Linked DNA regions of Tamandua tetradactyla. The protein of the gene in region 3 purifies or fractionates together with the protein of the main gene of each other region. This does not show direct contact. Links are inferred from orthologs where the notes say so. Each region holds a gene or a part of one and is shown on either strand. Other genes may lie near its edges. The genes, in order: TUBA1A, ELAVL1, STAU1 and DDX21.

The links.
Region 1: the proteins of STAU1 (region 3) and TUBA1A purify together in Homo sapiens (affinity purification with western blotting; 3 studies listed by BioGRID and IntAct, with this or other methods). This does not show direct contact. The link is inferred for Tamandua tetradactyla from reciprocal best matches to the Homo sapiens genes STAU1 and TUBA1A.
Region 2: the proteins of STAU1 (region 3) and ELAVL1 purify together in Homo sapiens (affinity purification with mass spectrometry; 3 studies listed by BioGRID, with this or other methods). This does not show direct contact. The link is inferred for Tamandua tetradactyla from reciprocal best matches to the Homo sapiens genes STAU1 and ELAVL1.
Region 4: the proteins of STAU1 (region 3) and DDX21 purify together in Homo sapiens (affinity purification with mass spectrometry; 4 studies listed by BioGRID and IntAct, with this or other methods). This does not show direct contact. The link is inferred for Tamandua tetradactyla from reciprocal best matches to the Homo sapiens genes STAU1 and DDX21.

What each region holds. Positions count from the first base shown.
Region 1 is NC_135333.1:110,096,262-110,103,513, forward strand, and holds the start of TUBA1A (tubulin alpha-1A chain), read right to left. Parts: upstream 3,018-7,252; 5' UTR 2,873-3,017; coding exon 2,870-2,872; exon of another isoform or gene 2,700-2,869; intron 963-2,699; coding exon 740-962; intron 602-739; coding exon 453-601; intron 89-452; coding exon 1-88. UniProt on the Homo sapiens protein: Tubulin is the major constituent of microtubules, a cylinder consisting of laterally associated linear protofilaments composed of alpha- and beta-tubulin heterodimers.
Region 2 is NC_135337.1:84,443,748-84,451,030, forward strand, and holds the start of ELAVL1 (ELAV-like protein 1), read right to left. Parts: upstream 3,012-7,283; 5' UTR 2,910-3,011; intron 1-2,909. UniProt on the Homo sapiens protein: RNA-binding protein that binds to the 3'-UTR region of mRNAs and increases their stability.
Region 3 is NC_135327.1:3,468,926-3,476,935, reverse strand, and holds the start of STAU1 (double-stranded RNA-binding protein Staufen homolog 1), read right to left. Parts: upstream 3,021-8,010; 5' UTR 2,904-3,020; intron 1-2,903. UniProt on the Homo sapiens protein: Binds double-stranded RNA (regardless of the sequence) and tubulin.
Region 4 is NC_135339.1:28,236,721-28,243,676, forward strand, and holds the start of DDX21 (nucleolar RNA helicase 2), read right to left. Parts: upstream 3,005-6,956; 5' UTR 2,897-3,004; coding exon 2,810-2,896; exon of another isoform or gene 2,403-2,809; intron 1,012-2,402; coding exon 583-1,011; intron 1-582.

The DNA.
Region 1 (7,252 bases), on a different chromosome or scaffold from region 3:
CCATCAGCAGGGAGGTGAACCCAGAACCGGTTCCCCCACCAAAGCTATGGAAAACCAAGAAGCCCTGAAGACCTGTGCACTGGTCAGCCTGTTAGAAAAGAGAAGAATAGGGAAAAGATAGTTATTGTTCTTTGTGATACACGCACAGTAAATGTATTTTCATTCTTCATACATCTCCAAGTATATAGATATTACTTTGACAATAAACATTTTTTAAATGTAGAAATTAAAATTACTCAGGAAATTACTCAGGATTTATTAATTTAAAAAATCTTCATTAATATTTTTAAAATGATACCATATCATTCATGTTTTAACTGGGTTTTTTAAAAAACCTAAAGGAATAATTCATCTCTTTATTATATTTCAATGTTGTGTTTGAAAAAAACATTTATTTCAGATGTCTTCCTTAGGTTCATTACTTTACTGTATTCTTGAGAAGAAACACATACCAGTTTGCGAATTCTGTCCAGAACCAGGTCAATGATCTCCTTGCCAATGGTGTAGTGCCCGCGGGCATAGTTATTGGCAGCATCTTCCTTGCCTGTGATGAGCTGCTCAGGGTGGAAGAGCTGGCGGTAGGTGCCAGTGCGGACTTCATCTGGAAAAGGAAAGCAAAGCGCAACCCATCATTAACAACCTGCACAAGCCTACTTAACCCTGGGGCATAAATGGAGCGTCCAGGACAGACCTGTCCCAGACCCCTGCAATCTCACTCAGGTTACTGACTTCCACTCACCAATGACTGTGGGTTCCAGATCTACAAACACTGCCCTGGGCACATGCTTGCCGGCGCCTGTCTCACTGAAGAAGGTGTTGAAGGAGTCATCTCCTCCGCCAATGGTCTTGTCACTTGGCATCTGGCCATCGGGCTGGATGCCGTGTTCCAGGCAGTAGAGCTCCCAGCAGGCATTGCCAATCTGGACACCAGCCTGGCCGACATGGATGGAGATGCACTCACGCTGTGCAAAGGGAAAAAGAAAAAAATGTGAAGTTAAGCTGTATTAGCATTTTGAATTTTCAGTATACAGGTATTCTTCAAAAAGTTTTGAGGTCTTATCCCTAACATAACAGAAATAAGTAAGAAAAAGCACCTGCTACAACTGCGGCAGATGGGTGTGGTCCAAATGATAATGTGCCTGTTTAGCACATGGTACAAACCCATTGTTCCCACAGTCATGCTTGAGTAAAGATTTTTCTTATTTAAAAATACACGAAGTATAGACTTAGTAAAATGAAGTAAATTAAATTAAATGCTAAATTAACTGGAATTCACTGCTTCCTTCCCCTTCTAATAAAGATTAGGGTTTTGCCTAAATGAGACTTGATGTCTAACATTGACATCTGCACTGCAGCTGGGGCTAACTGCCACACCCATCTGCAGTCTATCTGCAGAATTCATGGATACTAGGAGATGAGAAGCTAAACAAAGTCTCCTGGCATTGCTGCATTGCTGCATTTGCTGTGCTGGTGCTAACTTGTACTGTCTGCTACATTATTTAACAGAGCAAGCTCTATTTTCAGCAACCGCCTACATGATCTCATTGTGCTGTTTTGCCAGTTTTCCTTCTCTGACCCAGCCTGGGACCAATGTGCCCGAATTGAAATGAATTAATGAAAAGGCACTAGAACAAAAGACATCTGGATTCAGAGTATAATCCAGTCTTCTTTGTCTGCAGAAATTTAGTTACTTAAAAAAATGCTTTTTCCAGAATCTTCTCCAGTTTAAAAAACCTGAAAAATTATGTTTAAAACAGCAGTTCCTAAATTGGAAACAAGTAACACAAGAGAAGCTACCAAACAAAGGATAAAAACCCAGTGAGACGATAATGAAATATTTATTTAAAACAACAAAATATTTTAATTCTGAGATTCTCTACCCACTACAGAATATTTCATACTCATCACATTCCGTAGATTTTCTTCTCTATGTCTTTAAGACAACTTTCATTGTCTATTCATTGTCTAGTATGGGGGTGGGGGTGGGGAAGGGCGTTTCCCTGAGTTCTGGCCTTATAGTGCCCTGGCTCACAAAGTGCCTTTCTCCCTCGGTGAACGTAGCCCAGAAGGACGGACGCACGCAGACACACAGACACACACACGTCGGCATCCCCAGACCAGACACTTAAGGTCTTGTCAAAAGTGAACTGTGATTTTGCTTTTTAAGAAAAATATATTTCATCTAAGTTTTAACAGTGAATGAAAAACCTTTTAACGCCTACAGTTTCGCAATGATTAAAAGTTTTTGTTAGAAGTCTTCTCCTTTTACGAGGGCGAACCCCGCCCAGTGGCTGCAACGCTAGAGAAGCAAGAAACAAACAACTCCGCCCCTGCGCCACGCTTACGCCGCCGGCGGTGGGATCCAACAGAAACTAACAATTTTATCCCGTTACTATTCGGGGGTCTGCCTAGTATACCAACGAATCCGCGAGAGACCTTTTTGCATTAATTGAAAATTTTGCTTTTCAGACAACTCCCCTCCCTGTTCCTGGAATACGAAGCGACAAAGAAAAGAGCACATTCACCGACATACAAGCAGGCGACGCCACGATCGCCTTTTTCCGGCCCCAGACCTTTTCATCTTCGACAGAAGGCCTCGGCATTTCGCCCGTTTGCGGTACTGTAGGGCTCGGGTGACAAAAGCTCCCTCCCCGTCGCCTTTGTTCCCCCCCCCCCCCCATCCTTCTCTGCGCTGTGGGCGCAGTTCTTGCTTGGCTCCCCCACCGGCACTGCGACAGCCAGCCTTAGAGCTAAACCTCTTAAACAAAGCAAAGAGATTGCGAAGGAAAATAGTTTAAGGTTTTCCGAGTAGAATGGAGATCTGATCTTACCAAACTGCCGCAGAGGGCCGGAGAAAATAGATACTTACCATGGTTACTCCTTGGCGGCTGCAGAACAGATGGCGGAGACGAGGAGGAGAGGTTGTTGCTTCTTACAGCGCGACTCTTAGGCGGTCGATGTAAGAGAACCTACGGCACATGGGCGAATGCGGCTCCCTATATACAACTCGGTCACCATGGGAATGGACCGGGGCCTTTTCCTGTTGGTCCAGACCCCTCAGTCTGCCCAGAGAAGCCACAACAAGAGAGTGGTGATTGGTGCAAGCGACATGGGATGAGGTAATCTCTCCCCCACCCGTTTCCCCCCAGCATCCATAGACTGTTTGCATCCTTCAGACAAAGAGACCAAGGAAAAGGAGTCAACCGTGTATCCATGATGGGGTGGGGTCGGGGGGAAATGGGAGGAAAGAGGAGTGGGGTTGAATGATTTTATATTTCACAGTCAAGCTACAGTTAAAATCAACCATATAGAGGTTTTTTTTTTCCTACACTTAATCACAGAATGTGAGATGAAATATTTAATGGAAAATTAATCCCAATCTCTCCTTGATAGTATACTAAGATCGACTATATTCAACGAAGATTCAATATCCCTAATTGCTTTTAAAAGGAAGGAGGAGAATATGGGAATACAGTGTTTTTGTGCATGATTTTTTTGGTAAACCTACAAGTTCCCTAATCAAAGTTTTTGTTTTTGTTTTTTTTAAAAAAATTAAGTAGGAGAGAGGATGGGAGTGATGCTTAAAATGGCTTCAGTAAACTGGGTTTTTTTTTTTTCATTTTAAAAATATTCAGTAATAGAGCCATTCCAAATGGTTTCTTGGGTGAAAGTATTTTATTTTCAAACCTTCGTTTCCACCCCTTCCCCCATAGCTGAACAAAAATGAAGGAGGAAAGAATGACCATACTAACAAGGCAGCGCACAATAGTGTTAACTTGGCAGTATTTGGAATTTAACATAAATAGTGAAATAATCTACTGGAAATAGTCTTTTACCAGAAATCTATGTAATGTTTTTTGTGTGGCATATTGTCCCTAGAAATGAATCATTGTCCTGATATAGAATTGAAAAAATACAAGGAGAAAGAATTGAGTTCAGAAGCTAAACTACCTGTGTGTGTGGTTATATTTCTGCATTGTTCTCTTTTTTGGAACGTAATAAGCAAAAATAATAACTGAGACACCAAATTAAAAAGAGGAGATATGTAACGTAAAGAGAAGACCATCTTGAAGTGTTACCTCCATTCACTGTTTTGTAATGTCAGCTCAACAACTGCATTTCTTTTTTATGTAGTTCTTATGTGAGTTCAATAAATACCCTCTTCTGCATTTGGCTTCTAACTGTGGGAATTGCAATCAGTCTCACACGGTTGCTATTCAACCAGAAGCTCTGGTTGTTGCTCAGTTGCCCACTGGGGACAAAAAAGGCTTTGCATTCGCCCCCCACGAAATGGATTACAGTAACATTCTTTTGCTATTTAGAAAGTTTCCATTATCAACAAGGATGGGCAGTGCAGAGTAAGTCTCTGGCCTGAGTACCAACCTGACTTGGCTGATGAAATTTCATAATTTAAGAGGTTATTTTTTGCCACTAAAGTTGGAAAACTGTATTTAGGCAGATAATGTTTCCTTTAGGTAACAGATTTTCAAGGTCTGCAGCATCATTTACAGTGCTGTGCAGAACACATTCATTCCTGCCTGTCTGGTAGGCAGAGCAGGTTATAGGAGGGAGGGCCTAGAGGAGACAGCTGCTGCAGGTTGTGGTGTGTCAGTGGCGGCCATGAATTTTCCCAACCTACCATCTACAGCTCTGTTTTACTTGTTCTAGTCGTCTCTTAAAAACAAAAACAAAAACAAAAAAACCCAGCACACAAGTCATTTTATCTACTTTTTACATATTTCATAGGAAAATGTTGCTCAACATAATTTTATCTCTATCCCGTTAGCAAATAAAAGTATATTTCAATAAAGAGAAAGGATTAAGGATGGCTTGAATCCCATATGCTTCTTTCTGAACCCAGAATTACATTTAACCACCAAAAATAAGAATTAAATGGTAGAGGGGAGCATAAAGACTTATAAGTTACGCATTTCTTTCAAAATCTAAATGATGAAAGATATAAGACAGGGCGAGACTATGGTAAAATGAATAAGTTTCCTTTTGGAATGAGAGGCACAGCCTTGAATTTTATTTTCTTTACAATAGAAAAGGTTAAGAAATATATCATTTCTGCATTAGTCTCAGTTCTTTATACGGTTTACGGAAGATTGAATAAAAGAGAGGAGGTTCCTGCAGCTGATTCTTTGTAATTCTATCTCAGAGCCATTCTGTGTCTTATGTAAATGAGGTGTTTTTTTTTCTCTTGGGCATAAGTAACAATAAGATATAGGTCAGAAATACACTATTTGACAACTGGTAATCTATTAAATATAAAAATGCAACAGCATGGGGAAGTAATTAATTTGTTCTTTTTGTTCCTCATTATCTGACTTAATAGCACGCAAAAAGTATGTTTTTTATTAGTTCACGTCTTATTTTTACTGCCAGTTCCTGACATCAGTTTACGTGTAAAAGTAATCTGTTATAGATTTGTTCCTGTACATAGTAAGATTAGTATAAAATATTGCTCTTTTGAGGTATTTGTGGAATTTTGTTTTATTTATTTGCATGTCTGTACCTTTCCTCCATTAAAATGTGAGTCCTAGTCCCTAGGAAAGTGTCTAGCATAAGTAGACATTAATTACATATTCTTTGAATTAAATAATTAAATGGACAGCTTCTCTCTGTGCATATTTCATTTACTATTATCGTGGTGAATAATTTAAAGGTCTTAATAGAGTATGTTACATTTTATATTCAACACCTATTTATGAGAATCTACAGTGAGCACCAGTGTGGGGAATTCAGAAGTAGTTGCATAGACATTTTTCCCTAGAAAAATGGAAAAAAATTTTCCAGTCGAGTTGAAGAAGTAAGACATGTACATGTGTATTGGCTTGAGACTGACATGCTTTTGTATGTGTAGGGTGATGGAACATTTGTAGACTCCATTGCAAGGTCCCATATATCATAACTTATGTAGGAAACAAGAGAGTTGTCTAACACATTTTCTTCTATTTCTTCACCTCCTGTTCATACCTAAATCCATTCCCACCTGAATTCTGCTCCAATTTCCCCTTGAAACCAAATGTCCTCCACTTTTGTTGTTAAATCCGCTGCACAAATTTTTGTTCTTGTTGACTTCTGATAAACTTTGCTTCTATTAACTATTTTCTCTTTCTTGAGACATTTTCTTCCTTTCATCTGCGTTTTCCTGGTTTCCCTCCTACATCTTTGGCTGTCTTTACTGGTACCACCTCCTTTTTCTAAACTTTAAATGTTGACATTTCTAAATGTTCAACTCTAGCCTTTTCTTCATTTTATTCCATGTTCCATAGATGATCCCATACATTCCTAGAATAAACACATTCACTCTCAAGGTATCAAATGCTTTTTTTATGTTGATGATTTCTCAGCATCTCTTCTTAGCTCCAGATCATATAGTAAACTTCCAACCTCTAGCTTGATATTTCACAGATATCTTAAACTAAACTAGTGGTCTTCTTCCCAAACAGGCACTTCTTACAAGGTTCTCTTGCTCAGTAAATGGAGCAGCATACACCCCATCTCTCAAAAATAGAAACCTGAGAATTATTCTTGACCCCTCCATCTCTTTTTATGAATACCACAGAATCTGTCATTAAGCCCTGTCAAGTCTATCTATTAAATAACTCTCAAATTGTATTCTTTTCTCTCTGCCTTTATTGCTTCCATTTAGTGCATCCTTTCTTGCCTGGATAACCTCAGTAAACTCCTAGAAGATTTTCTGCACATTCACCTCTCACTTCTAGACCCCCCACCCACCAGCAGCCACAGTGATCTTATTAAAGTACATATTTGATCATGTCACTTCAGTAACCTCCTAGAAGATTTTCTGCACATTCACCTCTCACTTCTAGACCCCCCACCCACCAGCAGCCACAGTGATCTTATTAAAGTACATATTTGATCATGTCACTTCACTGCTTAAAGCAGTGCAATGGCTGTGGATTAGTTAGTTTTTTTTTTTTTTTTAACTTTTTTTATTGTATAGTATATAACATATACACAAAGCAAAGAAATAAAACAGCAATAGTTTTCAAAGCACTCTTCAAAAAAGTGGTTACAGGATTGATCCCAGAGTCTGTCATGGGCTACCATATGATACTCTCATATTTTTCCTTCTAGCTGCTCCAGAATATAGGAGGCTAGCGGGCTTAAATACTTTTTTATCATCACAATCGACATTTTTTTTCCTTCTTTTTTTGTGAACAATAACATATATACAAAAAAGCTATAAATTTCCAGGCACAACAGCACAATTAGTTGTAGA
Region 2 (7,283 bases), on a different chromosome or scaffold from region 3:
TCACCCCCTCCCCATCTCTTCCTTCTGTGTGCAAATGTGACTTCCCCACTTTGTGGACTAAAACTATTCAATAGCCATTCCTGGCCCAGCCTTAAGGAGAACTCTTTATACAACAGACAGATGTGAAGCCCTTCACAACTGGGCCTGACTCATCCCACTCACCTTGCCTCTACTGGCTTCCACCCTTCTTACCTGCCCCTCAAGCACCAAACCCCAGGTTCCCTGAAGAAACTGAGATATTCCCATCTCCGTGTCTTTCCTCATGCTGTTCCTGCATCCATCAAAACCCTTCCCCATTGTGGAAGGATTCTGGTTAACTCCACCCCAGCCCTCACACCTTGCCTCCTCCAGAAGGTCTCTGCCATCTCTTCTGCCCACCAAGTCTTGGTTAACAGTGCCCTTTTCTGTGCTTCCCTGAAGCCAGTGCATAATTTATCACTGCACTCACCAGAGCGGACTGAAATGATCTCCATACACCCTGTATATTCCACTGACAAGCCTGGGACACAACAGCAGATCAGGGGGAGTTAGCTGAGGAGGGAAGCAAAACTCACTTCCCTTTTACAGGCTGGTTTCCTTGGGTCTTCCCCTGTCCCAAGGCCTTACTGCTTCACTATTGCCATCTAGGGGTGAAATAGTGTAACTGCACTTCTCTCACTAGCATTTAATTGGATTCAAATGAAAATTGAATGGGATGGGGGCACAAGTGAGGGAACAGTTAATTCTGGTGGAGGTGGAGGAAGGGTGGGAGTTGGAGAAGGCTTCAAGCCGTGAGTGAGCTCTGAGCTGGGCTATGCAGCATAAGGAAGAGATCTCCAGGTGGAAGAGAACAGCATTCAGGAAGTGGGAGCAACAGAGAGGGCCAGAGTTTAGATGAGGTCAGAAAGGAAGAGAGCATTAGAGTATGAAAGACCTGGAGCCCCAAGCTGAGGACTTTTGACTTCATCTTGCAAGCCACTCAAAAAGTTCAACTGTTTCTTCCCCACCCAAGGACTTTTAATCAGGAGTGTCATGATCAGATCCTTGTTTTAAAAAGACAATCCTTGCTGGATTGTGGACAGAGGATAGAGACAGGAAGCAGGAAACATGGCCTGAGTGAGAGACAATAGAGCGAACAGCAGAAAGAGCACTTTCCTAATTCTCCTCTCATTTTCTACTTGCTGCCCTGTGACCTCAGAATCAACACAACTAAAATGGAATTCTGCCTACCTCCCAAGCTAGGGCTTCAACATAAACATTTTTTCCTTCCACATTTTGAGACATTCATATATCTCAGCCTTTTTGTGGACCTTGAGGTGGCAGAATTTTATAATAGAATCCAGCACACAGGGAGTGCTCAATGATAACTGAATGGAATTCCTTGAAACACTGTCTCTCTGGGTCTCCTGGGCTGCTGAGATGATAAGAGCAGTAAAACCCTGTGGTTAAGAATGGGGCCTTTTGAGTCAGAGGGCCCAAGTTAAAGTCCCAACTTGGCCACTTTACTGTGTGAGTTTGGCCATTATCAAGTGTCCCACCTCTGCTCATTTTTTTTTTGTTTGTAAAATGGAAATTATAACAGCAATCAAGGGTTGGAGATGTCTGTGCAATGTTAAGCAAAAATAAGTTCTCAATAAATACTGGAGATTATTTACAACATCATTTATTAAGTGCCCACCATGCAAAGGCCATGCACAATAGATTACCAAATAATTGACTTAAATCCACACCTTAATACTCTCAGCCTTTCCATTTCACAGAGAAGTAAGCTAAGGCTCCAATAATTGAGTTTGTCCATGGTCTCAGGAGCCTTGGATCCTGGGGAGACAGAGTGAAGAATGGAGACTGGGGGCCTCTTAGTGAAAGTTCATCTAGTCCAGTGGTTCTCATTCTGGGGGCGGGGGCGATTTTGCACCCCCTGAGGACTTTTGGCAATGTCTGGAGACATTTTTGATCTTCATGCTTAGGGTAGGGTGGGGGAGTAGGAAGAGGAAATGCTGCTGGCATCTGGAGAGAAGAGGCCATGGAGGCTACTAAACATCCTAGAATTCACAGGACAGCCCCCACAACCAAGACTTATCCCGCCCAAATTGTCAGTAGTTCTGAGGTTAGGCAACCCTTTTCTAGTCCCATCATCTTCCTTGTGTTCCCACTTCTAGAGCATTGGCCATCGGGCTCCTACCTGAATACTTTTAGTAAGGTAGGGGCTGTGTCTCTCCAGGGGCAGCACATGCAAAGTTCTCTCCCACCCGCCATATATCCAGCAGGTATCAGAACCCATTTTAACAAACCTAGCAAAAAACACCGGAAAAGGAAAGAAAAGCATCCATCCCCCATTGTTCAATTGCGTGCTGTTTGTGTTTTCAACACACACACATTTTACAAATCTTAACGTCCCACGCCCCGTGAACAGCTTTGTTAGAGATGGCGCCCAAAAATAAATATTTTTCTAGGACTCCCATACATACTAACGGGTTTGCACACTTCGAAAAGGACTCCGGATCGGTCGCAGTCCACAAAAGAATCTGTAGGATTTCCCGGGGGAGCGAGCTCGCGGGCCGTGACCTCTAGGCGCAGTTGACGCTCACCCCACTCCCGGGTCTCTGGCTTCACGCTCCCGCCCCCGGATCCCGGGCTTCCAAGCCCGCCGGGGCCTTGGGGCCGAGCGCTTGCCCCAGCCGCCAGGCGCGCGCCCACGCCGTGTCCCCCTCGCCCACCCTCGCGACGGCCGAGGAATCCGGCCCTGGGCCTGTCGCCGGCGCTCACACCCGCCGGACCCCACTCGCCCGCGGCCCGTGCGCGTCCCCTCCCGGCCTGGCGCGGCCTGGCCCTCGGCCGGTGCAGGCCCGCGGGCGCCCGCGGCCCGGTCAGGAGAGCTCAGGCCTGGCGCGGCCTACATCGCCGGGCGCCGCCGAAGGCTCCCATCTCACCTGGACGCGGGCGGACGGGCCCGGGGCTGCTCCGGGGCGGGCGGGAGGCGGCGGCTCGGCGCTAACGGCTCCGCTCGGCCTCGGTAGCGGCGGCGGCGGCGACGGCGGCGGCGGCGGCGGCTCTTCCTCAGCGCGCACGACCCGCTCCGGCCCGCGGCCCGGACACGCCCCCCAGGCGCGCGCGCCCATTGGCCGGCGCCTGCCACGGCGCTCTTCCTATTGGCCAGTGCAGCTGTCGCGGTGCTCAAGGCGCGCGGGGGAGGCGGGACTTCCTGCCGGTGCCGCCTGCGGTGATACTCGGTGGCCCGCGATGGCCGCGAAGGGGAGAGCTAAGGCCCGGGCCCACGGAAGTCCCGGTCGGCAGAGAAAGAGAAAAGGGATCCTTGTCGAATCCCTGCCTTGTGGCCCGAGCTTGTCTGCCCCGCTGCCGCCGCCCTGCCAGGTAGGAAGAGTCACCACTCCAGACTACAGGGGACTGGACGCGGGTTCGAATCCCGGCCCAGACGTTTCCGCGGTACGTACTATTGGACAGGGGCTGACGTCACCTCGCCGGGCCTCAGTTTCCTTATCTGATGAGGTGAGGAGGCGGGCCTTGGACCTGGTCAGGACCTGGTGAGCTCCCAGAGGCTCAGTCTAACATTCACTCAATAAAACTTTATTGAGCGCCTACTGTGTGCAAGTCACTGTAGGGGCAGTGATCAGACAAGAAATCCTGCCCTCATTAGGCTGACGTTCTAGACGAGCGCTGTCCAGAAAAGCCAGATGTGAGCCACGAACGTAATTTTAAATGTTCTTGTAGTTGGCATTCTGTATCAGCGCTGCCCATAGAAATATAAGCCAACTACAAATGCCAGCCACGTGTCATTTAAGTGTTCTAGTAGCTACGTTCAAAAATTTAAAAGGAAAAATAGGTGAAATGAATTTTAATAATGTTTATTTAACCCGAGATGTCCAAAACATTATTATTTCAACGTAGAATAATATAAAAAATTACGAGACCTTTTAAAATTCTTTTTTGTTCCCCCACGTCTTTAAAATCTGTCTCAGCACTTCTCAAGTCCAACTGGCCACATTTCAAGAACTCAAGAGGCACACGTTGCCAGTGTAGACCCAGGGGGAGAAAAGAAACCAATCAAGTGGATTCCACATTCAGTGGTGAAAAGTGGTAAGGAGAAAAGCAAACTGAAGAAGGGTGATGGGGAGTACAGGGGTTGCATTTTAAAAGAGGGTGCTTGGAAAGGCCTCATATTGAGGAGATGGCACTGGAGGAAGAACTTGAAGGAGCTGAGGACAATGGACAAATAATTATGCTATTCATTGTTTAGTGCAGTGTCCTGTAGAGCCATCTGGAATAATGGGCCTGTTTTACATTTGCACTGTCTAATTCAGTCACCAGTAACTTCATGTGGCTTTTGGGTGTCTGACATGTGTCCAGTGCCATTGAGGAACTGAATTTTTAATTGCATTTTATTTTAATGAATTTAAATATACATAGCCACATAGGGGAATAGTTCCTGCAGCAGATAGCCTAAGTTTAGTATGGCAGAAGCAAGCCCTCAGTGTTGAGTGCATACTGTGTTAAATGCTTTATGCACGTCCTCCCAGGTAATCCTTGAAGTCATTGTCACCATGATGAATGATGAAGCCCTTTGGTTATATAGCAATACTTTTTTAGTAGTAGTAGCAATAGACTTTATTTTTTAGAACAGTTTTAGCTTTCCAAGAAAACTGTGAGGATAGTAGAGTTCCCATATGCCCCACACCTAGTTTCCCCTATTAGAACCAGCTTAGATTACTTAGATACGTTTGTTACAATTAATGAACCAATATTGACCTGTTCTCATTAACTAAGGTCCAGACTTATTCACATTTCCTTAGTTTCTCCCTAATGTCCTTTTTCTGTCCTGGGATCCCATCAAGGACTCTGCATAACATGTAGTTACCACGTCTCTTTAGTCTCCTTTAGGCCAAGGTAGTTTCTCAACCTCTCCTTGTTTTTGACAGTCTTGACTCTTTTGAGGGGCACTGGTCAGGTGTTCTGTAGGACATCCTTCTCCTGGGATTTGTCTGATGTGTTTCTCATAAGAACGTGATTACAGGTTCTTAGAAGGAAAAACACTGAAGTAAAATGCCCTTCTCATCATCTTATCAAGAGGACATGCTGTTAGTGTTATTTTTGACTGTGGATGTTGGCCTTGATGCTACCTGGCTGAGGTAGCTTCTGTTGAGTTTCTCCACTGTGAGGTTACTTTTCCCCCAGCCTTTCCTTATTGTGTCTTTGGAAGGAAGGCATTGAGCACAACCCATATTTAAGGAATGGGGCAGTATGCTCCCCCTCCTTCAGGGTGGAGTATCCATATAAATTGTTTGGAATTCTTCTGCATGGGAGATTCCTCTCTTCTCCACCCTGTATTAATTTAGTCAAACATTTAATTAGATCACTAGGGACTTGTGAATATTTATTTTATGCTTTGGGTTAATACTCAAAACAACTTTATTTTGTTGCTTACGTTGTACTGGCTTTGGCCATTGGGAGCTCTGCCATACCCCCAACGGTGTGTTTTTGTGCATTATTGTTTTAGAGCATTTTCTTACTCCCTGGAACAGCAAGAAGTTCTGGGCTCACCTTGTCTCTTTCCTGCCCTGGTTCTTGAATCAGCCATTTCTTCAAGGATCCCAGGTTCCATTTATTGGAAATGGTTTTAGATACCAAAATCTAATTACTAGGTGTACTTGTTGCTACTGGCATGTCACATTAGCATTAGTTGCAGGTGCTAGCCCTAGGCATACAACAGTGACCACACAGACATGGCATCTACCCTCACAGAACTTTGAGTCAGCTTACAGAGACTGGTTTAAGAGCAGAGCTCCAACGTATATTAACTGTGCAACTTTGGACAAATTATTTTGTCTTTCTGAGCTTCAATTTCCCCATCTATAAAATGGGGATGATTATAATTTTCCTGAAGGTGCTGTGAGAGTTAGGTGAAATAACCCATTTAGAATCTCTAGAACAAGATCTGGCATAATGTGCTTATTATATCTTATTATAATAAATTGCACAACTAATTATAATCTAACAGAGGTTTGGGCCATCAGCAAAGCATATAACTGGAGGACTTGACTTTGTTTTAGGATGGCTAAGGAAGGCTTCCCATGTCATTGGTGTTTCAGCTTAGTCATGAAGGGTGAGTTACCAAGCAAAGAGGAAGCAGAATACTTCAGGCAGAAAGAACAGCAAGTACAAAGGCCCTGAGGCAGGCTGGAGGCTGGCACACATAGAATACACGGACAGGAGAAGGACTCATGGGATTGGCAGAGGTGGGCTGCACGGGGCCTCGTTGACCATTGTAAGTTGAGACTCAGTCCTAAGAGCAAAACCAGAAGTGACTTGCATGAGTACACATAATCTAGTGCACAGAGTGACAGAGTCAGGATTTGAACTCAGGTCTGCCTAGTCACAGAGATCCTTTTTTCTGTGGTTTGAATTTGAGAGGAAGTTCTTGCTTTCTTTTTTCCTTTTTCTTTTTTTTCTGTAAGAAGTGTAGTTTTCCTTCTTACAGTAGGAAGTACTCGAGGAATACCCTAAGTACCTGAGGAGTACACTCAAGTCACTATGTTTCCATGTTGTTCTTGCTTTCCCTCTAAGTCCTGGTCTGTTCCTTAAGCACAAGCTATTGAAGGTCTGTGAGGTCAGGAGACACAAAGATGCTTCGGCCTAGGTCCCTGCTCTTGAAAAGTGAGTTGTGGGAGGTGCTGGGATACAGGTGGTGAAGGAAAAGGATGGCCAGATGAAATTGGACCAATGTCCGGATGTTGTTGCAAAGAGACCTGAGGGGGTAGGCAGAGCCGTTGGGATTTTATCCCGAAGTCCTAGAGTTGGCAAACTATAAACCAATTTAGCCCACTGCCTTTTTTTGTTTGTTTGTTTTTTGTATGGGCAGGCTCCAGGAATCAAACTCGGGTCTCCAGCATGGCAGACGAGAACTCTGCCACTGAGCCACCGAGGCCTGCCCCCCACCACCTATTTTTGTACAGCCCACTAGCTGAGTGTTGTTTTTACCGTCTTTTAATGGTTGAAAAAAATCAAAACAAGAATAATATTTTGTGACCTGTGAAAATTGCATGAAATATAATGAGTGCAGGGTTTCTGCTTGGGTAGATAGAGAAGTTTTCCTATTGGAAGGTAGTGATGGTAGCACAGCATTGGGAATTGAATAGCTTGGGAGTGATTGAGGTGGGAAATTTTATGATGTATATATGTTACCACATTTAAAAAAGAGATAGGAAGAGAGAGAGACCAAAGAGAAAATGACAGTTAAGCACAATATGGAGGTAAAAAGGTCCAAAAGGACATTATTAGAACATATAAGA
Region 3 (8,010 bases):
AGATATGAAATTGCTTTATTTTTCTTAGATTTAAAAGGCATATCCCTCCCTATCTCCCAGGGTGTAATGACTAAAACATAACATATAACATTTCCAATGTACTTGATCAAGCGTAAAAGTAAACCTATAAAATCAAAATAACAATGTTTCAGGTCTAAGACTGGAAACTGTTCATGATCAGAACTTAGAAAATTAAGTAACAATGACAAACATTTAAATATTTCTGTTAACTTCCATTCAACTCTAGGAAAGATCTCTTTTTTAGACAAGAAAGAAAATATGAACACCTATGTTGTGATTTCATACTAATCACCAAATTTAACATTTCATTCAGACTGAACTTGCTGTTTGTAAACACAGCAGATGAGGAAGGCCTTGCCAAAACAATTCTTAAACAGTGGCTTTTGAAATTAAATACTTAGGCTTAATTCATACCTTCAAGTGATATCGGCATACTTACACAACTGCTATAAAAACAAAAAAAACTTTGAAAGTTTTCATTATGAATTATTAACTGTGTTTAACTTTGATGAAAAATTATTCTCCATTGAAAAATTATTCTCCATTAAAAGTGGCTTAACAGGTACATCTTCACCGGAACAGGGTTCAGGAAATCTGTATTTCTGATTGCTTTCCAGTTACAGCCATCAGCAGCGAAAGAACTGTTGTTTTTGCACACACAAAAAAAACAAGGAAGTATTTTTGGATTTTACTTTGAGGGGAGAAAGCACTGGATCAATAACTAATCTTGAAGCTAATTTTTTTTCCATTGTACTCGTATGTAAACAGAGACGGGCACCCCAACAAACAAAATTTAGAACTATGATCCTGCTGAAAGTAGATTTTGTGACAAATTAACACACTGAGGCATTCTGATAAAAGTCAAAATCGCTAAAGTTATGATATGATGTTTGAGTTCTGTTTCAAAATAATCCAGTTTGTGGGAAACAGGAAACAAGATTGACTTTAGCTATGAGTTAATAATTGTCAAAGATGAGTGACCAATACATGGCGGTTCTCTAACCAACTTTTGTAGGTTTCCATAATAAACAGTTGTTCTATGACAACTTGAAGTTATCTACAGCAGCATTAAGCATCACTTCTCTAGCACTTCAATTCACAATATGGCAGAAGACATGCTTTGTATTGTCTGTATAGGTGTTTTTTAAGTGTTTCTAAAGAGCCATAACAAGATTTAAAGTAAAAATGATGGTAAGACTTTATGTCAGAAAATTCTAGGAAAATGCCGAGAACAGAGAGGATACTTTGCATTGTTGTATTATTGTGGGATGGTTATAAAAACATTTTAAGTTTACTAAAGAAATTCGCTGCCTAAAAGAACCCATTCAGTATAACAAACACATGCTATTTCTAATTCCTGTAAATTTGAACTTTCAGGAGTTTCAATTCCTTAATGAAGGGTGCAATATACAACTAAGTACAGAATTAAAAGAAAATCAGCATGATGAATAAAACTGTTCTAAAAATCCCACCTGTTGCCAGGATGATTGAAACTGCTCCCTCTATAATCCAACTGTATTTTTAGTTTTTAACTCAACAAGTAGCAACGTAACTTACATTTGGTAAGCACACTGATTTCTGAAAGGCCAAAATCCACGGAAAACCTAGTTTAACTCTTTCCACCGCCTTCTAATCAAAGTCACAAGGAGAAGGGAAGAGTGATCTTAAAAACGTCCCTAGAGTCAAAGAGGAGTGGCAGAACAGACTGAAACACGCATTTCTGCGGGATCGGGAGAAAACTTCCACACAAGCAAAACTGTAACACACGGAAGGAGCAAGAGCTGAAAATGAAAGTCTGCCAACGGGGACGCAGGGAATAAAAGCAAAGCTGCAGTGCAAAAAAAGTTAGGAAGTATAGATGGAGAGCAAGAAAGGACTTATTTTTTCCATCTTCGTACAATCCCCTTCCAGAGCCCGACACACATCAGGTGCTCCAAAAACGTTTGCCGAACTCAAGGGAAGCTTCTGCCAGCAAGTTTCCCAGAAAATGGAATAACAAGAAGTCCAACAACGGAAGAAGAAAAGGACCGGTTGCTCGCAGTGAGGGAGCTGGTGGGAACCCTGCCGTCGGTCAAGCGGAGGAGACGGACATACAACATCTACCTTTTACAGACGGCTGCTCCAAGGTGTCCCATTCCAGCGTTCGCCCCTTTCAGACATTAACAACCCAAAACAATGTCCTGGAGCTGCTGGTGGGCACGCTCAACATCCCTGCCTCTAAGGAAACGCAAACTGGAAGGCGGGTCAACTTCTGTCCGCTCTACCCATTCAATTACACCTTAATACCACGCTAATAAAAGATGCAGGCGGCTTACCGGGACCCGCGGAGGGTCTGAAGCTCTGATGAGGGCTTCACACGCCCCGGCTCACTGAACCTTAGCAGCGGGACCTTGTGAGCCCCTTTTCCAAAGAAGCCCAAAGAGTTTCAGCGACTCGCCCAAGAAGGCAGGGCGAGGATCTATGCCCACGGTGAACACCTGAGCAGTGCTCGCAGTCACCACGTTCCAGAGCCGGGTTGGGGGCACCGGGCTGTTCCGGGGCTCCGGGGCTCCGGAGTTCCGAGCCGCGCCCCTACCCGCTCCCCCGGCCCCTGGCCCGGGAATAACTTCGGCGGCTCCGAGCGCGGAAAGGCGGTCGTGGCACCTGTTTGTGGCCCCAGCAGGGGGTGGAGGGGGTGGGGGAGGGCAGCAGCAAGGCCGCCGGGCGCCCTGACCGGGGGTCTCGGCAGGACCCGCCTCCCTGGGGAAGGCCCCGCCGGCGGACAGAGGCCCGGGGACGGCGACCCCGCGCGCGGCTCGCCGAGGCCTAGGCCCCACCCGCCGCCCGCCGCCCCGCGCCCACGGCCCCGCGCGGGCCGGCCAGGCCGGGCCCAGCCGCCTCACCTGGCTGCTGCCCCGAGTTCGTCCCCCGGCCGACAGGCCTGGGTGGCGGCGGCGACGTCGAGAAGGGGCAGGAGGAAGGAAGTGGGGAGAGGAAGAGGGGACGGCGGGAGGGAAAAGGCGGAGTGGCCGTGGAGGGGGCGGGCGCCGCCCGGCCGGGACGTGAGGGGAAGGGGGAAACCAGAGAGACGCGGCGGCCGCGGGCGCAAACGCTGAGGAGCCGCTGGGCGCCCGCAGCCTGGCAGGAAGTGACGGGGGAGGGGCCGGCGCCCGCCCTCGGCCCCCGCCCGCCTCCATGCCCGGCCCCACCCCCACCCGTGGCCGGAACCACAAGTCCCGGCGGGCGCTCCGGCGGCGCCTGAGCTCGCGGGGCGCGCCGGGAACCTGGCGGACTGGGGCCGAGTCGGCGTGGCACGCCGCGGCCCGCCCTGGGCCCCTGGGCCTGCTGGGAGTTGGGGTCCCGGACTGCAGGCCCGCGCGAGGTGTACCTGGGAAAGTGGGCGGTCCTTCCGCCCTTCCGGTTCTCCCTCCCTTCCGGCCTCCTTTCCGGCCTCCCTCCCACCCTCCTTCCCCCCCTTCTTCCTTTCGTAAGTGTGTCTGAGCAGGCGTCACTGTGAGAGCGGAAAGCATGGTGACCAAACAGAAAGACCCCTGCCCTCATGGAACTTGCATTCTAGTGGGGATAAAACACGCAATAAGTAAATAAACTCCGTAGTCTATACAAAGGGTTCAGATCGATAAATGCCTTGCCCAAAAGGAGGGGAGACAGGCAGAAACCGCAGCCGCGCAAGCAAACAAGACGCCCTGAGAGGGCCGCAAGTGCTGTGAAGAAAACGGAGAGGACGAGGTGACCGACGGGGACGGGCGGGCGGGCCCTTCCGGGGAGACGTCGGAGCGAGACCTGAGCCCGCCGAACGTGTGAGGGCGGAACATTCCAGAAACAAGAAGTGTAATTTTTAGACTTTTGTGATTTTTATGACTTTTCATAGGCTTTTATGAACTTTGTATGTCCCCATTCCTTTTTACAGACACAATTTATCTTCTGGGTAGAACAACACAGAATTTAGTGTAACATACTTAATGATCACAGTTTCTTACTTCCATCTTCCTCCCAAAGAAAACCTTAGTTACTTGGTAAGAGTCAGAAGGTCTTGAGGCCCTTGGAAGAGAATGTGATGGATGGCGTCTAGGCCAGAGAAAAGCTAATCTAAGGAACCCTCTCCTGAACCCCGGCCAGCCCTACAGCTAACCTATATCTTGGCCGTACATTCCGAAAGTTTGGAATACTTAGCGAAATGAAGGATGTTAAATCTCCAGGTGGTTGTTGTTTTCTATTTCTTTTTTTGTTTGTTGTTTGGATTAGTTGCAATTATTCTAACAATCACGTGGTTATCTAGGTTTGCATTGTTGCTTTAATAATGAAACAGATCAGGTTGCAGAGAGCCTGCTGAGTGGCAGCTACACCCTATAGATGGACATGTTCTTTGCATTACAGCACGGTGCCCACCCTGCCCATGTCGCTCATTTATGTTACTTCCCTGTTGGCATTTGAGTTTGCAATGTCTTGCCTACTGTGTAAGTGCATGAGCTGAATCTGGTCCACAGAGCTGAAGACTCTGAAAGCAGTCATCGGTCAAATAATCTCCAAATGCAATGATGCATGTAGGAATGAACTGTACATGATGTTATGAGGGCATTTCATGGGGGATCTGACCTCGTTTCATGGTTTAGGGAAAATAACCCTGAAGCACCGTAGCTTTAGTAAAAACTTGAAGAATAAGTAAGTAGTCATTCAACATATGGGGTGCAGGAAGTGTTCCCAAGGACAGGGGAAAGCATACAGTAAGTCCAGGGGTGGGTCAGCATATGGCACATACTGTAGTTATTATTGGTGTGAAAGAAATCACTCTCAAACTTGATTGCTTAATAAGAGTATCAATCATTTTATTAGCTAGCCAAGATTCTGTGGACCAGAAATCAGAAGGGCTTAGCTGAACAGTCCTAACTGAGAATTTCTGTGGTTGCAGTCAGGTGGTGCCTGGAGCTGGAACAGTGGGGGATGGAGCACCTGGGGGGCTGGCTGGGCATCTCTGTTTTCATGTAGACTCAGGGCCTGTCCCGGTAGTCTCTCTGCCTTGGCGAGTTTGGACTTCACAGCATGGCAGCTTCAGGGCGGTCAGATTGCTTATGTGGCAACAAAAGGCTTTAAGAGTAAGTTTCCCAGTGAGCAAGGCAGAGCTGCGTTGTCTTTTGTGAACCAGCCTTGGGCGTCACACAGAGCCACTTCAATGTACGTTAGTGGCTGCAAGCAAGACACAATCCTGTCCAGACCCCAGGGTAAGAAAATTAGATTCCACCTCCCAATGGACTATGGCTGAGATCGTGGGCAACTTGTAGGAATGAGACACTGTTGAAGTGAGTTTTGGAAAATACAATCTCCTCAGCCATTTTTAAGGCCAGTTTGGTGGCCACTCGGAAAGCAGATTGGAGTGTGATTCAAGGTGAGACTGGAGATCTGGCAAAGGCCAGGCTGCGCCTTGCTTATAGGCCTTGTTAAGGAGTTCTGTCTTTGTGTTAAATGCAATGGGAAGATATTGGAGGGTTTTAGAGAGGAAGTAAATGTTCAGATTTGAGTTCTTTAAAGATCCCTCCAGCTAGTCTGTGGAGCACACTGGAAGAAGTTTCAACTGGGGGCTCAGGTAGGTGGTTGCTGCAGTTGTCCAAGTGACTGAGGAGAAGAGCCCGGCTTCAGGGGTTGGTGGGCATGGGAGAGAAATGGATGTAGGCAACAGTTATTCAGAAAAATGTACTGGATGGGGGGTGGATCAGATTGCAGTGGGAAGGGAAATGGAAGAATCAAGAATGACTTTTAGTTTTCTAGAAGATAAGCTTTTTTTTTTTTGGCATTTTGATATGCCCTGGAGACGTTCAAGGGGCAGTGGCAGTGGCAGATCTGGAGCTCAGAGGAAGAGTCTGCTGGAGACACAAAGGTGTGAGTCAGTAGCACATGGGAGGTAATTGAAGCCTTCCCTGCACATGTTAATAGGTGTTAACACCTAATGAATTCTCTCCACTCAACTTTCATACCGTGTAGCAGAACTCTTTGTACCCTTGTATTTATTCAGTTAATTATTCACTGAGTATCTCTGCTTATCTAAGACCAGGCAGTCAGCCTCCGTGAGGGCGGGTTACCCAGGTGTCCTGGTTGTCACAGTGTCCCTGGTCTCTCACCCAGAGCCTGACACAGGCAGAACAGTGTACTCCCATCACTGTGACGGAAGCTCAGATCACTTTGGTATGTCTTGTAACGGGAGCCAGGGCTGAGAACTACTAACAAGTCTAGGTGAGTAATTCTCAAGATCATTTCAGGTAGACTGCACCACTAAATCTATCTCAGAATCTCCTGATAATGGGAGGTCAAATAGAAGATCCCATTTACAGAGCATTGGATAAAAGAAAAATTCCTCGAAATAAACTTTACAAAAAATATGCACAAGCTATGTGAAGAAAATGTTAAAATCTACATAAAGATACAGAAAAGGACTTGACTACATAGAAATATAAGCAACGTTCTTGGCTGGGAAGAATCTGCATTCCTAAGATGATCAGTGGATCAAGACATTTAATGAGATCTCAATAAAAATGCAAGTAGGACTTTGTTTTGAAACTAGATGAATTACATAATAGTAAGGGTCTGGTGTCATCTAGGCCAAGTGATGGTACCCAGTTGTCTGGTCAGGCAAGCAACGGCCTGTCCATGGCTACAAGGATGTTTCATGGCTGGTTGATGAACCCAAAGGCTGATGTATTAAATCATCAGTCTGTTGATTGCATCAGTGGCTGATTACAACCAAGATCAACTCAGGCATGTCTCCCACCAATGAGGTAGTCCAACCAGTTGAAGACTTCTTCACGGCTTCTTCAGCCAGCGAGCCTCTCCTGTGGAATCTGTCCAAACCCTTCATTGTTGCCACCAGCTTCACAGCCTGCCCTATGGATTTTGGATTCGTCCATTCTCACAGTTGCATGAGATGCCTTTATAAATCTCATATTTACAGATATCTCCTGTTGGTTCTGTTTCTCTAGAGAACCCTGATTAACACAAGCTGTGTCTGAATTCTTTTGAAAAACTAACAAGAAAGAATAGCCAGGAACTTTCTCTGAGATATCTAGCCAAATATTAAACATGTTATAAACACTTATTCATTGAAATAGTTAGGTACTAATGCTTGAATAGACAGGCAAATCAGGGAAGAGAAAAGAAATCCCAAATAGGCCCAAACATATAGGAATTTAGTATTCATTAACGTATTCAAATTCATGAGGAAAAGATGGATTGTATTCAATAAATGGTTTGGGACCACAAGCTAGCCTCTGGGGAAAAAAAGTAAAGATAAATCCATATCTCATATCTTACACCAGGGAAAAATGCTGAATGGATCAAGGATTTAATAGGAAAGAAAGAAACTGTAATATTGCCTGAAGAATCTCTGTGATAATTCTTTTATAATCTTGAAATGGAAAAGAACATTTTAATTATAACATAAAACTCAGGAGCCTTAAAGTAAAAGATACATTTGTCTTCAAGAAAGTGAAAAACTTTTAATCTTGAAAAGTAAAAATACAAATGACAAACAGGAAAGAATTTGCATCTCAATTACAGAAAATGCAAATTTCATAAAGTATAAAGTGCTCCTATGAATAACAAAAGATTAACAACCCAATAGAAAAATGGATAGGAGAGAGCAACAGACAGTTCAAGGGAAGGGAAAAACAAATGATTCTTTAAAATATCAGTATGAATTCAAGGCTATTAATGGAAACTTGGTTTGTAAAAGCAAAAGTTTGAAACTAATACCATTGTCTGTTGGTCTATGACTAGCTAAATAAACTCTGACATTCATAAAGTGGAATAATAATTAGTGCTTTTTGAAAAAAAAAAAAGATACTTTTAGCAATTCGGGGCACCTTGCCCTTCCACAATGGCCATTATCAACAAAACAGAAATGACAAATGCTGGAGAGGATGTGGAGAAAGAGGCACTTATTCACTGTTGGTGGGAATGTCAAATGGTGCAACCGCTGTGGAAGGCAGTTTGGCGGTTCCTCAA
Region 4 (6,956 bases), on a different chromosome or scaffold from region 3:
GCTTTTGTTGTCCCCACTGCTTGTGAGAATATCAAGAATATTTTTAATAATTGAGGGGAAAAATTAAGATCTTGCTGCAAGTAAAAAATTACTTAACAGAATTTAAATTTATTTTGATTACCAAGTTTTTGAAAGATAAAAGTAGCTTCCAAGTAGGCAGAACTTCACTCATACTATTCAACTCAAGTTAATTAATGGTCTGAACAAAAAGATTTTTATGCAATCAATCAACACCTTTTCTGTAGTTCCACTTAATCATGACTTGGCAAAACCCCTTAGAGGGAAGCTAGTCCTGCCTGCATAACTATACCTCTCCAATTGATTTACTGACTTGCAAATAAGCAGCAGACCAAGGATTGTAAGACTTTCCCTAAGCTTAAACAGATCTACTCATTGCAGAGGAAGCATTCCAACTCAATGCAATTTAATAAACTGAGATAAGTCAGGGTGCCCACCCCAGCCCCCACTCATGAAATGCCGACACATCAAATTCCCACCCCACATATTAAATAGTATTCGTAGGTATTGCTTTGCATTTTGAAACAAAGAAATACATTCTACCCCTTAACAGTGCAACTTTACCTGTTCTAACTCCTTACTTTCTTCACTTCCAGCTTCACTAGACTCAAGTCCAGAATGGGGAAAGCCATTCAGCTTACAGCTTTTCTTTCCAATTTCTCCATTCATTTCTTTATCTTTCTTTATCTTCTTGGGCTTAGGAACACCTATTTCTTCTTCAGAAGGTTCCTCACTCATTTTTTTTACTTTAGGAGAAACAATTTTGTTTTCAGAGGCCTCCTTTTTCTTTTTCCCATTTTTAATTTTAGGAGAAATAATGTCTTTTTCAGATAGCTCCTCTTTCTTCTTTGTTACCTTTGTGGATTTAGGAGAATTCATATCAACGTCAGAAGGTCCTGCCTTTTTAACTTTTTTTGCTTTGGGGGACATAGCCTCCTTTTCTTCTGCTGATCCTTTCGTCTTATCAGATTTTGACTTCTCTTTTTTATCTTTCTAAAAAATAATTTTTAAAAAATACAAAAAAGAAATAAACTAAATACTATAGAAAGTGATCAAGCACAGTTCAAAATTAATACCGATAGGGTTGTATGTACACAAATGGATGCTGTCACACAGATTCCTTCTTTTTGTACCTACTAGAATTCCACCTCAAGCAAAACAAGAATAATATTTGCTTTACCTCTCACACAAGCTCAAATGAATTTACATAGAAACATTTTATGAACCAAAAAGCTATAAAGACCCACAGCCAATGTGTAAAAATGATATACTTTAATTCAACAACAGTAGCAGCAAACCACAGATGCACAAGTTAAAAGGAAATGGAAGGGGTGAAACCACCAAACCAAACCAGACATACGGCTAGAGGTCCTACCTGAAACTTCTGACCCTATTCAACTTTTCAGATTACTGAAAACTTATTACAATTAGTTGGACAGGCTATACCTGTTAGAACCTGGGCAGAGCCCCAAGCAAATCCCTGGAAGTTCAGAAACTATCAGAGTGAAATTTACCTTCCTGAAACGTCAGTTCTCAGTTTTAGAATCACAGACTATGGATAACCTCTCTCCCACGTGACCACCCTTCTAATAAACAGAGGAAAAAGTTGGTCTCTCCCCAAGACTTTGCTCCACTTTTCATTCCCTGGTTCTACCAAATAGATGGGTCTCTTTGGGAAAGTTTAATTATGTTCCTTTTTTTTTTTTTTTTTGGTATGTTGTGGGTGGGGGTCACATTTCATTCTTTTCCATGTGAATATTCCGTTACTGCAGCACCATTTGTTGATTTTTTTTTTTTTTTTTTTTTTTTGGAGTGCCTGGGCCGGGAATCAAAGAGGTTCCTCTTAATCTGAGAATTCCCTAAGCGCACAAACTGATTCAAACAAGTAAACCAGAACCACTACATCCCCATCTGTGGGGACAAATTTGTACTCTGTCTGCTTCCCACAATACCAAATGCTCTCCCATCAGGAAGATACAGAAACAGCTAGGAAAGGAAATTGTAAGTCAAATACAAAGCAAATTCAGGGACAATTGGTGTTTTCACTGACCTCATCTCAGAAGAGAAACTCAAGTGGGTATAGGATTCAGCATCAAAGAAGTACCCGGTTGTCAAGGTAATTCACATACTACTGGCCCATATAAAAAATAGTGTACAGGTAGCACCACAGCCCTTCTCGTCACATTTCCATAGCAAATTAGATCGGTAAATATTAGGAGGAGTTGAATTATTTCTTCTTCAAAGGGCTGCTCACCAGAAGACAAACTACTTCTCTTACTGCAGACGCCGCCAGCATTTGCCCGCCCTCTAAAAATCTCTCCCCACGTGCTCAAATAGGGTTAGTATTTCTTTAGTTAAGACGTCAGTCCCTACTTCCTCTACTGACTTTGATACACCACCGCCCACGCTCACGCCCGTCGTTAAATCTGAGCCGGCAACCTAAGGGCCAAATGTGAATGTCCAACTCTGCGTACCACATGCACGGGGCCCAGACTCCGGAGACCACGTGGGACACCCGATCTGCCGTTCCCCAGATCGGATCTGCCCCGGCCTTGTTGCCAGAGGTCCCAGCGCCTTGCCGAAGAGAGCCAGAGTTCCGAGAGCGACGAACTGCCCTTGGAGACCACCACCCTCGAGAGCCTCTTGGCGAAACTACACGCCCCGTCTCCTCGCCGCGCGCCACGCTCTCCCAGCCCGGGTACCTCCTCTCCCGTACTCCAGGGCCCCGCTCCCCTCAGCATCCCGGTCCCTCTCCCTGCCTCGCCCCCGATCCCTCAGCCCTCCGTGGCACCTTCTCATTTTGCTTTCGTTGTGTCTCCTTTTTTCCCATGGCCGTATTTGATTCCAAGCCGACGTCACTAAGGAGTTTTCCCGGCATCACTCAACAGAACCTGCGTAGACCAGCCAAACTCGGCAACCGCGTGGAGAGGAAAAGATAGAACTGCCTCTTTAGCCCACCCAGTTTTCGTCACTTCCCGTATCAAGACATTTCCGGCGGAAGCAGGACGTACAAAGCAGGCGAGGCCCATGCGTGTCTCAACGCTCCGGCTGCTGACGTAGCCTGTGATTAGCGAATGAACCATTTCCATTTACAGCGCCTGGACTACAAGGCACCTGCCAAAGGGTAGAACTGAAAAGGACCACAAAGGTTAGCTTTGTATTATCGTGCCAGATTCTCGTAAGCCCCAGCCGATAAATGAGTGGCGCCTCTTCGGTGTTTGTATTAGATTGCTCGAGTGTGCAAAGCCCTTTCGCGTACAGACGCGCGAGATGTGTTTTTTTGAACTTCTTATATTTCTACCTGAAAGGTGATGCCCAAACTGACGAGTCTCGGTAAGCACCCGAATTCAGTCGGGTCCGGTTGTTCATGTGTGTGCTCATATATTCAGCGCACAATCTCTGAGTATTCACTTTGCGTCGGAGAACAGTGCTAGGATTCGGTAGGAGATATTACACTAACCTTTTCTTGGGGAAGCTTTATAGACTGGTGGGAGAGAGGACGAGTGGCATTTGTTCTGAAGGTACAAAAAGGCACCTAAACTGGGCTTGGGAACACTAGATGGGGCACCCAAATCACGTAGGCCTACATCAGAAAATAATAGGGACTCCCTGTCTTGCATGATCTCGACAAGATATAATCCAAGCAGTTGAGAAAAAGTGGCCCATCCGTGACGGTCACTTAAACTTTATCTGAAGAACTGGTGATACAAAGAATTGGAAGAAAATGCATCATGGTCTTTTAAGAGAATGTGATGGAATTCTACAAGAAAGGCTTTGAAACCTGCCGATTCCATTAAAAATAGCTCGGTGATTTTGGACACGTTACAGAATATGAGCCTGAGTTTCTCATGATATAGAGATAACAAACCTAACTCATTTGTTGAGAAAATTTAATGTCATGAATGTAAAGGGTTTGGCGTTACCTAGCACATAAGGCACAATAAAAGAAATTTGCAACTCACTGATGTGTCACAAGTGTTTGGACAATTAAAAATACTGCCTTTTATGACAAAGGAAAAAATAAAGTTTTATCTCTATATTTCATGAGATTAATTTTTACTGTACATTTTATTTTTGTGATTTTTTTTTTTTTTGCATGGGTGGCCACAGGGAATTGAACCCCGGGTCTTTGGCATGGCAGGTGAGAACTCCGCCTGCTGAGCCACCATGGCCCACCCTGGACATTTTTAAACTAATAGTTTTATGGAAAACTTATGGAAATTTTTCATATTTAAGCTATTACTGTTCTGTGTTTCACAGTCTCATTCTTTTTAAAAGATAAAGTTATGTACATGTGCAACAATGCTTTAACTTACACTTTGTGATATCCTTGAGCCAGGAGCCTTCATTTATTTATCCATCTTTGTATCCTCAGTATTTCAGCCTGGCACATAAATAGGAGGCTGTCACGCAAATGTTTGTTTATCATTCAAATAGCAATCATGAAAAGCAAAAACACCCTCAAAATAAATTTTAGATATAAGTCCAGGCAGGAGAGCATGTCAGTCATTCTGATTGTTGTGTGTGATAGAAGGGGAAGGAAGCATGAATGGATTCCACCAATCAACTAACTAACAAAATGCTTTTCATCTGGAATTTCAGCACATACTGTGGACTCTGGGTTATAGATGTTAAGACCGTGTCCCTACTTCAGGGAATCTGCAATTTGGTTGAGAAACCACAAAACCATGTGATACTGCTGTTCATGATACTGCTGAAACTGTATAAGGACATGTTTATTATTAACACATTTTCAATAGGAGGAAAAAACCCAGAACAAACTACTAAATGGAAAACTGTTGTCAGGTTTATAAAATATCCTTTGTAACGAACGTATCTGCACACAGGCAGAGCCCAGCATTCCAAGAGGAAACACACAAAAAAGTCCCTTTTGGCTCAAAGATGGCCAAATAATTATACTGAAATCAAGTCATCAGTATAAAATCCGTAATAAGTGGAAAAAATTGGGCCTTGATAGGTATTGTGAAGTCCTGTTTAAGTATCAACTCTCTGGACCAGTTTCCTCTGATCTCCATGAGGTAACATGTTTTCATAAGATTAGGGAGAGAATTTCTATTTTAAAATGTACATATACATACATAAATGCACACCGAAGGAATTCAAAAGTCTATGCAACAAAATGTTAGCACTACTTTTCTCTGAGGGATGTTAATTATGAGTGTTTTATTTTCTTCCATTTGTTTCTCTTTTTTCAAATTTTCAACAATGGACATGTATTACTAATAAGGAAAAAAATATGGTAAAAAAAAAAAAAAAAAACTATTAAGCAGCTTCTCCCAACCCCAAATATGTAAAAAACAGAAAAGGCTGACAGTTACACCTAAATGTGAATTCATTATTCAAACTTGTAATGCTGAAGGAATAAAACATATTATTTCATTTACAAATTCAAAAACCAAAGCTGTGGGTAACTGATTCAAGTTCAAGTAGTTAACTAACCACACTAGAGCACAGCACCACACTGGAGACTCTGAATAGCTAAAAGGGAAAGCCATGAAGGCGCTGGGCTCGAAGAGGGAGAAGTAGAGTAAGGATAAATCACTGAGTAACCCAAGGCTAAGAATTTCATGAGAACTTGCCCTGCCTTTTCAGAAATATGGGAAGCTATTATTTAATCTTATTAGGATCCACCCCACTTCCTTGCCTGAGAGTAGGCTAATAAAGAAGTCAGCCTTAAGACCACCCTCTACCTTGCTGTCATTTATCTTAATGCTTACTAATTTTTTAATCTCTTCCCTAAAAGCCTCCAGTGGCTCTTCAAAACAAGGCCTGCAAAATGCCCCAAGATATGACTCTAGCCTTGTTCTCACCAATGCTTTCCTAACAGTGAAGATCTCAGCAGCAAGAACTACTCATGGTTCCCCATACTTAGACTTTATTGTTTTATTAGCTTTTCTTTGCCTTTGCCTGGATGCCCATCCCCACATCCCTGTTTCTTTTACCTGACTTCATTCATATTCAGTCATTATATCCAAAAAGCTTCCTCTGAACCCCCAACCCCATTGCTGGGCTGGGCTCAGTGCCCTTGCACAGAGCACTTAACTACACTTAGTTCACTGTTGTTTACCTAGGCTTATGTGTCCATCTATTTCACAAGATTCTGAGCTCCTGAGGATAGAGACCTGGCTTTCCTTGGGCCCAAAGTATAGTGTCTGGGATATTGTAGGTGCCTAACATATTCTGACTGAATGTACTGGTACTCATTCACCTTTATAGGAACTGAACCTCTAATTTATCTTGGATATAAATTCAGAGTTCACAACTACTCAAATGCAGAGCCAACTGAGATCTTCCCATCAGTCATGGTCATCTGGAACTCTATTCCTCATAATCAAAACTTCCTTCCTCAATCCATCACACAAAGTTCTTCAACTCTCCTTGCTTTAACTGAAATCTGGCTCTTCCTGGAAAATACTACCCCCCCCCCACACCCACTGCAGGATGGGCAAACTGGGCTCAGTGGTGGAGTTCTTGCCTGCCATGCCAGAGACCTGGGTTCAATTCCCGGTGCCTCCCCATGTTAAGGGGAAAAAAAAAAAAACTGTTCCCTGCAGTTTTCTCACACAAAAGTTGCTGGTTCCTTTGCATACCATGAACCTTCAAGTCAGTGTCCTCTTTTCCTCAAAGCCATTTCTAGATTACTCCTTCACTTTCATGTAAAAGCCCTTGCTTCTCTGAAGATACGTGGTAATATCCTATAATCTTCCTCATTCTAGCAATTTACCAACCTCCACACCATCAATAGTTTGGTACCTGGCTCTTCCTCTCCCTCCTCAGGCCTGGCTTTCAAACTAAGAGACATCACTGTTTGGGAAAACCACACATATAAAACCTGCTTCTCAGTTCCTTGACTGCCTGAACTCATCAAGCCTACTAATTATACTCTTGTTGTCTTATACCAAATTGTTCCACTCTTG